Caenorhabditis elegans: one gene and its partner. The protein of the gene in region 1 interacts with the protein of each later gene in a pairwise test. Each region holds a gene or a part of one and is shown on either strand. Other genes may lie near its edges.

The links.
Region 2: the proteins of K01A6.4 (region 1) and unc-76 interact in a two-hybrid assay, tested with the Caenorhabditis elegans proteins (one large-scale study listed by BioGRID).

What each region holds. Positions count from the first base shown.
Region 1 is NC_003282.8:11,737,455-11,742,297, forward strand, and holds K01A6.4 (Glycine Rich Secreted Protein), read right to left. Parts: upstream 2,851-4,843; 5' UTR 2,831-2,850; coding exon 2,564-2,830; intron 2,498-2,563; coding exon 2,453-2,497; intron 2,231-2,452; coding exon 2,165-2,230; intron 2,118-2,164; coding exon 1,641-2,117; 3' UTR 1,535-1,640; downstream 1-1,534. Other genes in the region: K01A6.6 (G_PROTEIN_RECEP_F1_2 domain-containing protein), read left to right, coding at 3,033-3,151, 3,372-3,514, 4,029-4,135, 4,179-4,309, 4,592-4,691; K01A6.7 (Collagen-like protein), read right to left, coding at 793-1,113.
Region 2 is NC_003283.11:15,069,436-15,075,692, reverse strand, and holds the start of unc-76 (UNC-76), read right to left. Parts: upstream 3,934-6,257; 5' UTR 3,810-3,933; coding exon 3,724-3,809; intron 2,122-3,723; coding exon 2,040-2,121; intron 1,990-2,039; coding exon 1,871-1,989; intron 913-1,870; coding exon 807-912; intron 1-806. Other genes in the region: dnj-3 (J domain-containing protein), read right to left, coding at 6,225-6,257.

The DNA.
Region 1 (4,843 bases):
GGACTTATGTAAATCTCATTGTGAATCAACGAATTTTTCTCGAACTCTGTGGGCGCCAATGAGTATGTCTGTGTAATGATGGGATTTAGTGGTTTGATGGTGAAAAGCCGTATGATCGACAGGCAAAATAGCTATAATATGAACTTGTTTTGTTGCTGCGCTGATCACGATCAAAATGCGAATTTTTCAAGTTTTTTTGAAACAAAACAATGCCGCTTAACTCTATGCAAAGCTTTTTTCTTCAGAAAGTGATAGTAGCAATATGCCAATTTAAAATCTACTTCTGCGTTTGAGATCTCTAAATCGAAACAGCATTTGAGCTAGAAAATGTTGAGCAAAATTTTTGGAAAACGGTATTTAGTTAGTGATTCTTCTTACTTTTTCATTCCAAAAGCTCAATTAAAAATGAAAAAAAAACTGCACATGTACGTTGACTATAGACGCGTTAAAAGCAGGCTATGGTATTTTTGTAAATATGTGTCATTGTAAAAATTATTGTAATTATTGTAAATTAACCATTATTAACCATTATTGTAACCATTATTGTAAAAACAGACAAAGACATCATGATAATTTTTTATGAATAGATAATTCCAGTATAGTTGGTTCTTATTCACTAATTATCAAAACCAAGTTTTAATGCTCTTCAATATTCTGAGATTAATTTCTCCCAAATAATGTTATTTTGATAATGTTGCCTTCAAATTTTCTTTCAAATTCAAATTCAAGTTTATTTGAATCAAAGTTGTGATATATACAATAAATATGAATAAAAAGACAAAGCGCAAAAATTTATATTCCTGGTTGTGGTACATTAATTCCGCCGACAACTCCTGGTTGTCCGATAACTCCACCTGGTGCAACTCCTGGTGGTGGGATTGTTGGAAGTGTCGGCAGGCTCGGCAGAGTTGGTAAAGTTGGAAGTGTTGGAACCCCAATTCCTCCAATCACAGGTTGAACTCCTCCAATTTGTCCCGGCAGTTGTCCATTGAAACCTGGTTGCCCTATTCCAAGCTGTCCTTCCATGCCTGGTTGAACTGGTGGAGGAATTGGTTGGTCGTCGGCAAGTACAACACTAACGAGGAGAACAAAAATCATAGAGGAGTAGGACATTGTTTTCTGAAATTTAGGATTTTTAAAACTTTGTAATCGAATATTTAGAAGTGAGGTTATAAATTCTCAAACAAACCTTAAATGGCTGAAAATTAGAAGTTGATGATATCTGAGCCAATAAAAACTCATTTTATACCATCGAGAAAATACCGGTTGGATAACTTTTCGGGGATTCCCTCTTCCAAAACAAAACGAAAAAATCATAGTTGTTTAACGTTTGAACATTACTGTAATAACGGATATTCTCTATACACAGTGTTTCACCGATTTCTATGGGATTATGACGTGGTTCGGCAAATGTGGTTTTTGAAAACTGTCGAGTAAAAACATACGTTTGATGTTCAAATTGTTCAATGAATAATCCGATTTGTTAAAGTTCGAAGTGGACTTTGAAATAGGAGTTTAGAGGTGTTTGTAAAAATGCTTCAATATTTATTAAAAATGTCAAAATAAAACATTAAAGTTAGCGTTAAAAAGAGCAGTGGAACACATTACCAGTTTTTAGATGAAATACTGAACATCACATATTAAAATCCTTGGTTGTTGTTTCCATTGGATCCTTCCTGTCCACCCTGTTGTCCTTCTTGGCCCAAGCCTCCGAATCCACCGAACCCACTTGATCCACTTTGTCCTCCTTGTCCTCCTTGCATTCCACCGGTTCTAGTAGATCCTCCGAATCCACCTTGTCCACCTTGCCCACCTTGCTGACCTCCAAATCCAGAAGACGACTGCCCACCAAATCCTCCTTGGGAGTGTCCTTGTGTGTTTCCTTCAAATCCAGATTGCTGTCCCTGTCCACCGAAATCTCCCTGTTGAGAGTTCATTCCAAATCCAGATTGCATTCCTTGTCCACCAAATCCAGACTGTTGGGATGGTCTCTGAGCTGGGAATCCATTTTGAGAGTTTCCTCCAAAACCTCCGCCAAATCCTGATTGCTGTCCTTGACCACCAAAACCGCTTTGCTGACCTCCGAATCCACCTTGACTGTTACCTCCGAATCCTCCCTATATTTGTTACGTTTAAAAATTTCTAAACAAATTTCCTATCTAACCTGCCCGCCGAAACCAACTTGCTGACCAAATCCACCGAATCCTCCCTGTTGTCCTTCGAAACCACCCTGGAAATATTTTTTATTACTCTGTTCGTGACATCATGATTGCAAAACTAGTATCTGATTTAGTACTACGTCTTCCATGAGTCACAAAATGCCTGCCTGCGTGCCTAGTAACTACTATATCAGTCGCGCCGCTAGATATCAAAGACGACTGCAAAATAGGCGTAGGGAGCCTTCAAGGTGACCTAGGCATACGTGGAAGGCGTATGAAGCACTAAACGTTACCGGAGAATTTCCACTAAATCCTCCTTGTTGTCCTCCGAATCCACCCTGAAATTTTTAATTTTGTTTTACTTTTTTCTGAAACAGGTTTCTAGAGCTATGTTGAAAGGTTACCTGAGAGTTTCCTCCAAATCCACCTTGCTGTCCAAATCCACCGAACCCTCCCTGGGAGCTTCCACCACCGAATCCTGATTGCCCTCCAAATCCTCCTTGCATTCCTCCGAATCCTTGCTGAGATCCTACTTGCTGGCCTTGTCCAGTCTGTCTCTGACCTGACTGGCTTTGCTGATTTTGCTCATTTCCCGTTTGGTTCTTTTTTGCTTTTGGGGCGGCAAGAGCTGAGCAAACCAGAAGTGCAAGTAGTACAGCTTTTGAGTACATAGTGTTCTCTTCAAATTAGAAAGAGAAAATATGAAAAGTGAATAAATGATCTGATACGAATTCTCATTCGAACATTGTCTATTTTATATGATTTTGATGATGTAGATCATGAATGTGGGGGAGGTTTTATGCAAAAATTATTGAGTCAGAATTGATGTCGTACTCTGAATGTACCTGGTCTCAAATGAAACCAATTTTTCAGGTATTCCTCCCACTTGCGGATTTTGCTGTTCAATTTGTGATACCTGGAGTTCTACTGGCTCTTCTTCATGTTGGATTCATTCGAGAACCCGAAATTGATATGGGCGATTTGACAAAACAGTTAGTTTTAAGGCGGTGTTTTTCGAACGAATTCAGATGAAATAGTATTTAAAAATGTCTTCTAATTCAATTGAAATGTTGCCTTCCAGGCAGGCAAAAAGAAGTTGAAAACTGTAGTCTTAATTTCCAACTAATTTCCTTCAATTTCCGTTTATTTTCTAGTCTATTTCAGTTTGAAACTTTTCTCACCACCAATTTTATTCAATTCTATTAATTTCAGCAATCGTTTCGGAAGAACTCCTCGAGATCAAACACGAATTCTAATAACGACTGTAACAATAAGTTTTCTCGTTGTTCAAGTTCCAACTGCATTCATCACAACACTGTCGCTCACCATAAATCATTTTCAGAATAATAATGCCCGTGAGTCACAGTTTTTGTGGTGTTCTAAAGTTCAGTTTTTGCTGATCAAGAATTTTGAACCTCGTGTTTGAAGACACGTTTAATTTCAAGCAACCATATAAAATAAGCATCAAAACATGAAGTTCACAAGATTTTTCAAAACTAGAAAAGTCTGACCCTTTTGAATAGATGATGATTAAATATTAATGACCTATAACATCACGTGGTATTCCTCGAACTTCCGTTTGCTTTTTCCCGTTTCAATTTTTTAAATGAAAGATATTTGGCCTAGGGTGCACTCAAATTACCCGCCTATTAGTAGGGAACATTTTCAGAATTCGAATAATATAATTTTATATAGGTAATCAGGAATCGCGTAATGACAATTTTTCGACCATCATAAATTATATTGATACAGTAAGGACGAAATTGAATTCGTGTTTATTTTTATTTTTCAGAGGGTTTTCTCAATTACTTCTTCCTCTGGTTTTGAATTTCGTTGTGAAGAATATCAATAAAACAGATTATCTTACAGTAATGGTATTAGCATTGGTGACTGGACATCTGCAACCGCTTCTCTCCATTACAACAATGGCTGCTAACACGGCAGCACTTTTAACTGCTTATTATGTCATTGTCAAAGTAAGCGTCCTTTTTTATTAAAAATCAATTTCAACATTTTTAGGACGACGATGAAGATGTTGGTGATAGTCGTACCTCAATAAGTGACAATGAATGTCAAAATGAGCTTCTGCTTCGAGCTCAGCAATCCACGTCACGGCGTGGTACTAGGCAAGTGTGGAACAGTATCCGAAGGTATCCGCCATTCATTCAAACATGTTACGCACTGTTTTACTTCTCTTTTTTTTTGAATTTGTCTACTGGTTTGTGTGACTTTTTCAGTGTGGTTGATCTTGTTTTCGAGTGTTTTGCGGTGAACCTTTTTTTCAAACTTCAGGTATTTTCTGTAGATATTCTGCATTTTATTTTCTTATGTGACAAAAAATTTTAATAGTACATAGGTATCTAAAGATGCACAATATCTCCTAGAAAATACTGCTAATTGAACAAACTCCAAATCAATCTTGAAATTTTCAGAATATCTCGTACGTATCTCAGTGTAAGTCACTCATTTGACACTGGCTCTCTTCGATCATTTTCTCGTAAAGGATCTGCAATTGGAGACGATATTCTGTGATTTCAACGGTTCTTCGGCCAAATTTGTTTCGCTTTTCATGTTCATCGCGTGCTTTCGGTTTCGCTATGATATATAATTTTTAAAACAATTACTTATGATTTTTAATTATCAATGCCTTTTGTCTTTCATGTGTGAATTGAATGAAAATGAAT
Region 2 (6,257 bases), on another chromosome or scaffold:
AATTGGTGATTTAATTGCCAAATACAAAAATAAATAGCGAAAAAATGTTCAAACCCCAGAATACTATCCAAGATTATAACAGCTTTCCTCGGGGAGTACACTTGGGTTTTTTGATAATTCGAAAAAAAAGTAGGATTTTCGGAGAATAGCTTAAAATTTTTCCCATTTTTAATAGTAAATTTTTTTAAAGTTTATTCTCGTCAGCCACATTGAAACTGTTTCGATGACGCTTTTGCTTCTGAAGAAAACAACAAACATTTTCTTTAAACAAATTGGTTTGTTAATTTTTTTCCCCAAAATATGAATGTAAAAAATTAAAATTTTTTAATTTAAAACTTAAAAACTCTGAAATAAGTCAATTCCGCATTCCAAACATGATGGAAATTGGAATCCCGTGATCTTTCAGAAAATGATTACGGTAGTCGCATATTTCAAATAATGACAACCGGGAAATTGAAAACTGCCCAAAAAAAAAGAAGAAGGGGTGGTATTTAATGGACACCGCTCTCCACATAGTAAGAGTTTTCTGAGCATCGGCTCTCGACGCCTTCTTCTTATTCTCTCTGTCTCTCTGACTCCTCCGGTGAGTGCTATAAATCGATTGTAGAGAACAGAGAGAAAGAAGAAGAAGAAGAAGTGTTGATGCTCAAGTGGAAGGAGCTGGAGACGATGAGCGTGAGAGATGAGCATAGTGGAAAAGATAGATGGAAAAACAAGAAGAACGTTGATGGTGGAAGAAGGCAATAGTAAAAACAGAAAAGGAAGACAAAGTGAATAACAAAAAGATCCGGGGACCCTCTGCTCACCAATGAATCACTGTCCAGAGCTGCGGCCATCTTTTTACATATCGAAGAGGTTCCAAAGTCGAGAGGTTGAATGTTTCCAAAGTTTCCGGTTAATGTCCACCATGTTCTGCAATTTTAGAAATTTCTTAATTTTTGGAAAAACTCAAAAACAAATTTTTTATGTTTTACTACTAATTTTTAAAAAAAAATCCAAAATGCTCGTTTTCACTATATTTCGAATTTTTTTGAATTCTTAAAAAAATAGTTGAGAGTTTTGGCCATTTTTCTTATTTTTAGAAGAAAATAATATGTTTTCTGTGTTTATAGGCACTCTATGTAATAATGACTATAACTTTATGTGTCGATTTACGCAGCTCGTGAAGTCCACGACGAGGAGGGTTTTACTGCTGTTTCGAAAAAACTTTTGAATTCAAATTTTCGAGCCGTTTCTGATTTATAGCGTTTTCGGGAAAAGGATCTAAATTTACTTCAACTATGGAGATTTTTTGTTATACCTCACTCGCCACGCGGATAACGAATTACTGTAGCTTGAGTTGAAAAAAAGTGAATTTTAATCTAAATAAGAATTTTAAAAAAACCTGACGATTGACAGAAGTGACAGTAATTACTTATCCGCGGGGCGAGACCTTTGCTACGAAAATTGTCATTTGAAGTTGGAAAGCGAGAAAATTAACAATTTGAATGATAAATACAAAAAGAACTTGCGAAAATAGTCAAAAACTAAGAATATTATCCAAAAACTGTAAAATTGTCCTAGTTGCGGATTACACGAACTGCGTAAATCGACACATGGCTTTTTTTCGGGCTAGTTTTTTTTAATTCGTTCCAAAGTAGAAATTATTTCAAAATTGCTCCATTTTTCACTAATTTTTATGAAAAAAGGCTATAAATTAGTTTACTTTTTAATTTAAAAAATTGGATTTAACTACAATTTTTTGGTGCTATTCTGAACAGAATTATGAATTTTTACGATTTATGGAACTTTAACAAAATAATTTTAGATCCCAAATTTTAATTTTTCAACCAATTTTTTTAAATCCACAAATAAAATCCAAAAAACTCACTGGCTTTCATTCATAACTTCCTCTTGAGTACGTATCTGCACAGGTGCAATATCCGCTGTCGTCACCTCGTGGTCCTTCAGGCATGCCGCAATTTTTTCGTCAAAGTTGCCGACAAGGTCCTGAAAATAAAAGAATGTTGAAAAGAGTGTGACAATGCAAGAAGTCCAACCTCAAGGGATCCAGAGAACTCGTCATGAAGACGTTCCTCGTCGCTGTTGCTGTTGCAGTGATGTTTCTCGTCTGATGAATGGCTGAAAGTTACAAGTTTTTTTAATTTTTATCCTTTCATCTATTCATATTATGGATACGCAGAATAGAAAACAATTTTTGAAAGTGAAGTGCAAGCGCGCTCCACCGACAAATCAATATGTCCCGCCCCAAAACGTCGGGTCTCGTTAGGAAATTCAAACGTTTTAAATTATTTTTTAACCGATTTCATCCGTATTCAATGAATTTTTCGACATTGTGTTGCGTTTTTGATTGTTTTTCATGATTCTTATGTCAAAATGATATTTATTAATTCATATGAAGTTGAGAAGTGATAACATATTTTCTATTAAGTGTGAATTATAATTCCATCAATTTCGATATAAAAATATCCTAAACAAGAACATAAAACATAACAAAAAGTCGAAAAATCTAGTTTTACCACTAAATACCTAACGAGACCCAAAGTTTAGAGGCGGGGCACTTAGAGACTTGGCAGCGGAGCGCGCTTACATCTCGATTTCAAAAAGCGTATTTTTCTATATTTTTTCTGCGTCCCCATAATATGTATTTCTTCAGCTTCACCCCATCCTCTTTAGGACCCCCAAATAGTATGAAGATCCGATAATTAGATAATGTGTATCTTTTGGATGTGTATTGGGGTATGTGTGTGTGTGTGTGTGTGTGTGTGGATGGCCGTGAGGGGGTGAGAAGATGAGCTTTTAAGTACCCTCTCCTCTGCTGCTGCTGCTCTACAACACTTGGCTCGTTCAATTGGATTGGGGCCCAGTTTTATTGGCATGTTCGAAATAGAAAAAAGATATAACGAGGCCATCGAACGTATGTCAGAAACACTTAGGGAAGCACTAAAAGAAAATTTCTGCGAATTTTTCTTGTTCTCTAGGAATTCGAAGGACCATAAAGAAGTGCACTGATGTTCTTTCTAGGAATTTACAAAAAAATCTAGTGGGAAGTTATAGTTTTGCGATTTTTTTTTCAATAAATGCCCTCTTAATTTGAATTTTTCAGCTCGATAATAAGCTTTTTTTTCAAAAAAAACCTCTACAACCTATTTATAAATAAGGTGGTTTCCAAATATATATTAAAAAAGTGAATTTAAAATTTTTTAATAGGGATATTCATATTGATACAACATTACAGTATTTCTTAAAGGCCCAGAGCTTAAAAAATTGCTACAGTAACCTAAATATCTGATGAAAAATACTGTGAACCTCTAAAACGGCCATGAGTCGATTTACGCAGCTCGTGTACTCCACGAGGAGAAGTGTGCAATTATATTTTTGACTAAAAATCTGGAATTGAAACTATTTTTTTTAGTTTTCTATATTTTTATCACGTAATTTTTTTTCACCTAAAAACACTGTTTTAAACTTCGGATTTAAAAAAATTAATTGGTATGGTCCGAAATCCTGCTTTCTTGCTAAAAACTGTTAAATCCTTTGCAAAAAAATGTACGCTTTTCCTCGCGGAGTACACGAACTGCGTAAATCTACACATGACCGGAGGATCACAAGCCTTCACGATCATAATTCCAACTTGTGAGGGAGTTTGGAATCTCTAGTATCCAGCAAAATTCAAGATTTTTTTTGCACTCTCCCACCAACAGCTTCAAAAAAAAAACTCACTTGCTCAAATTCTTATTACTATCGATATCATCATCATCACACGAGGCGAGCGGAATGTCCGGTACTCGCAGATCTGCAGCCTCCATTGCCACCTCTCCAAAACGCATCGGTACTTTTAAAGGTTTTGGTGAAGGAAAAACGGATGACACACAAAAGTGTGGAAGAGAAAAGAAGAATGGAAACGACGACGACTTTTTGGGATTGAAATTGGGAGAAAGAAGGAGGAAAAAGGCAAACTGACGACGTTGGAGAGATGCAGAGACAAAGAGAGAGAGATGCTAGAGGGCTCCAGCCGCCAAACTAAATGAATGCTCTATGCCTTTGCTCCAAATGTCGTCGTTGTTTGGGAGAAGAAGAAGTAGAAACAGAGCTGCTGCTGCTCTCTTCTGCAGTAGTCACTATGCGCGCAAAGGCAACTAAAGACGAAAAAGAGACGGATAGAGACGCAGAGACATCAACGGAAAACCGCATATGTATTGGATCCCTCCGGTTGTCTTTCTCTGACCGACTCTCTCAATGAGAGTGAATGAGAGAGAGAGAGAATTAGAGAAAGAGATACAACAAAATGAGTGTACATTTCTTTTGCGGGGCGGGGAGTTTTGGTGGGGTGGAATATAGAGAAAAAGAAAAAAGACCCAACACAGAAATACGAAACCCCTTCTCTCAGCAGCGGCGCCATTCTTTTCAGGACTAAGAAGACTAAGAGAGAGAGAGAGAATGTGAAACAAGTATCCAATTTTTTTCGCCTCACACACACCCACAGATGAGCCGAGAATCGGAGTGATTGATGTGCAAGAATGAAGGAAAAGTGCGGTGACATATTATTGTGTCCACTCCTCTCCGATCTAATCGGTTCGCCGCAAAAATAGATGAATTATTTGTTACGAAATCATTTTTCGTCTAGTTAATATAGGAATGGGGGATCGAAGTGAGATTGAGTTTTGGGTCCAACTTCAGAAGACGTTTCCAATGATTTATATCAGGGTTGGGCGGCAAACGATTTTTTTCAGCCAAATCGGCAAATGTCGAATTTGCCGGAAAAACGGCAACTGCCAAAAATGTTCGGCAAATTGTAGTTTTGCAAATTTTTTCTGAAACTTCAGAATTTCAATTTTAATCCGCAAATTTGTACGCATCCTATGAATGTTCCTAAATTTATTTTGAAAAGGGAGCAAATCCTATGAAAATATCTAGAAAAGACGGGAAAAAATTTCAAAAAGGCACAGTTTTAAGCGTTTCCGGCTTATAAAAAATCCCTATAAAAATTTCCGGCAAACCGGCTTTTCGCCGAATTTTTCGACAAAAAAAATTGCCGAACGGCAATTGTCGCTCTTGATTAATACAACTTTTAATTTAAACGAGGAAATTTTTTAAAAAAATTTTAAATAAAAAGCAGTTTCCAGAAGAGTAAGTGTAAAAGTGACAGAACTTTGGCTTACGCTTACATATTTTGGAAATGTGGAAACCCGAAACCTATTCGTGATACGTTCATTGACAATTAAATAGGTGTGGTTCATTAGAAAAGTAACATGATCAGAAAAAATACGATTATCTCTCCAAAGTCATTAAAAAACTGAGTTTTCGATGTCTAACAAGAAACATACAAATTTGAAGAAAAATGTTGCATCTGGGTCTAAAACTAATTTTATTAGCCCAATTATCTCAAGACATGCGCCCGAAAAAGTTTGACCCCTTGACAAAATTGAAAGTTTGTTTCAGTTTTATGATCGAAATAACTATAAGAAAATGATACGAGAACAGAAAACAGTTGAAAGCTTGCAAATTGCCGAAAAAATACGAGTTTTTTTCTCCAGAAGAATTTGGCCGAGAAAAAGAAGGCGAAACTTTTTTGTTTACGACATAACAATGAGTGATTTATGCCCTTTTTCTGGATGAAAGAAGTTGGTTGGACTATGCAGTCAACGATTATTAGACCTCAAAGGGCTCTTTTTTCTTTGGTTTTCGCACCTGCGAAGTGGTAGTGCTCAATTTTCGAGCAGGGAGAACTATAACAAACAATTTAGTGTATGTTGACTATACCGGCGACTCGACTGGTTAAACTCGTCAAAAGAACAAGGGAGAAATTTTTGGAAAAAAAAGGAAAAAAGAGAGAAATTTTGGCGAGTAACTAGTGCACTTTTCGAAGAGCCGGGCGGGAGAAGAGAGAAAAAGGAAACAAATTCAATTTTAGAGAAATTTGTAAATTTAGTATAAACACGAGTGGAATAGTAAGTAGTATTTACAAGAGGAAGCTAGAAAAAATCTTTAAAGCTTTAAAACAATTCTTTAAAAAAACAAATTTTTAGAGTACGCAAACACCGGCCGGCACGCAACAATGCAGACATTCGCTTACAGTACTCTTCTGGTTTTCCACTAAATTTTCAAGCTAATTTCAAGTATTTAATTGATTTTCAATGAAGTTTTACACAATTATTTTACAATTTTCGAATCAAAATATCATATCTAGGTAAAAATCTTTATTTTACAAAACAATGAAAATCCTAAACCGGCTTCGAAAGGCGATCCGCTTGTAG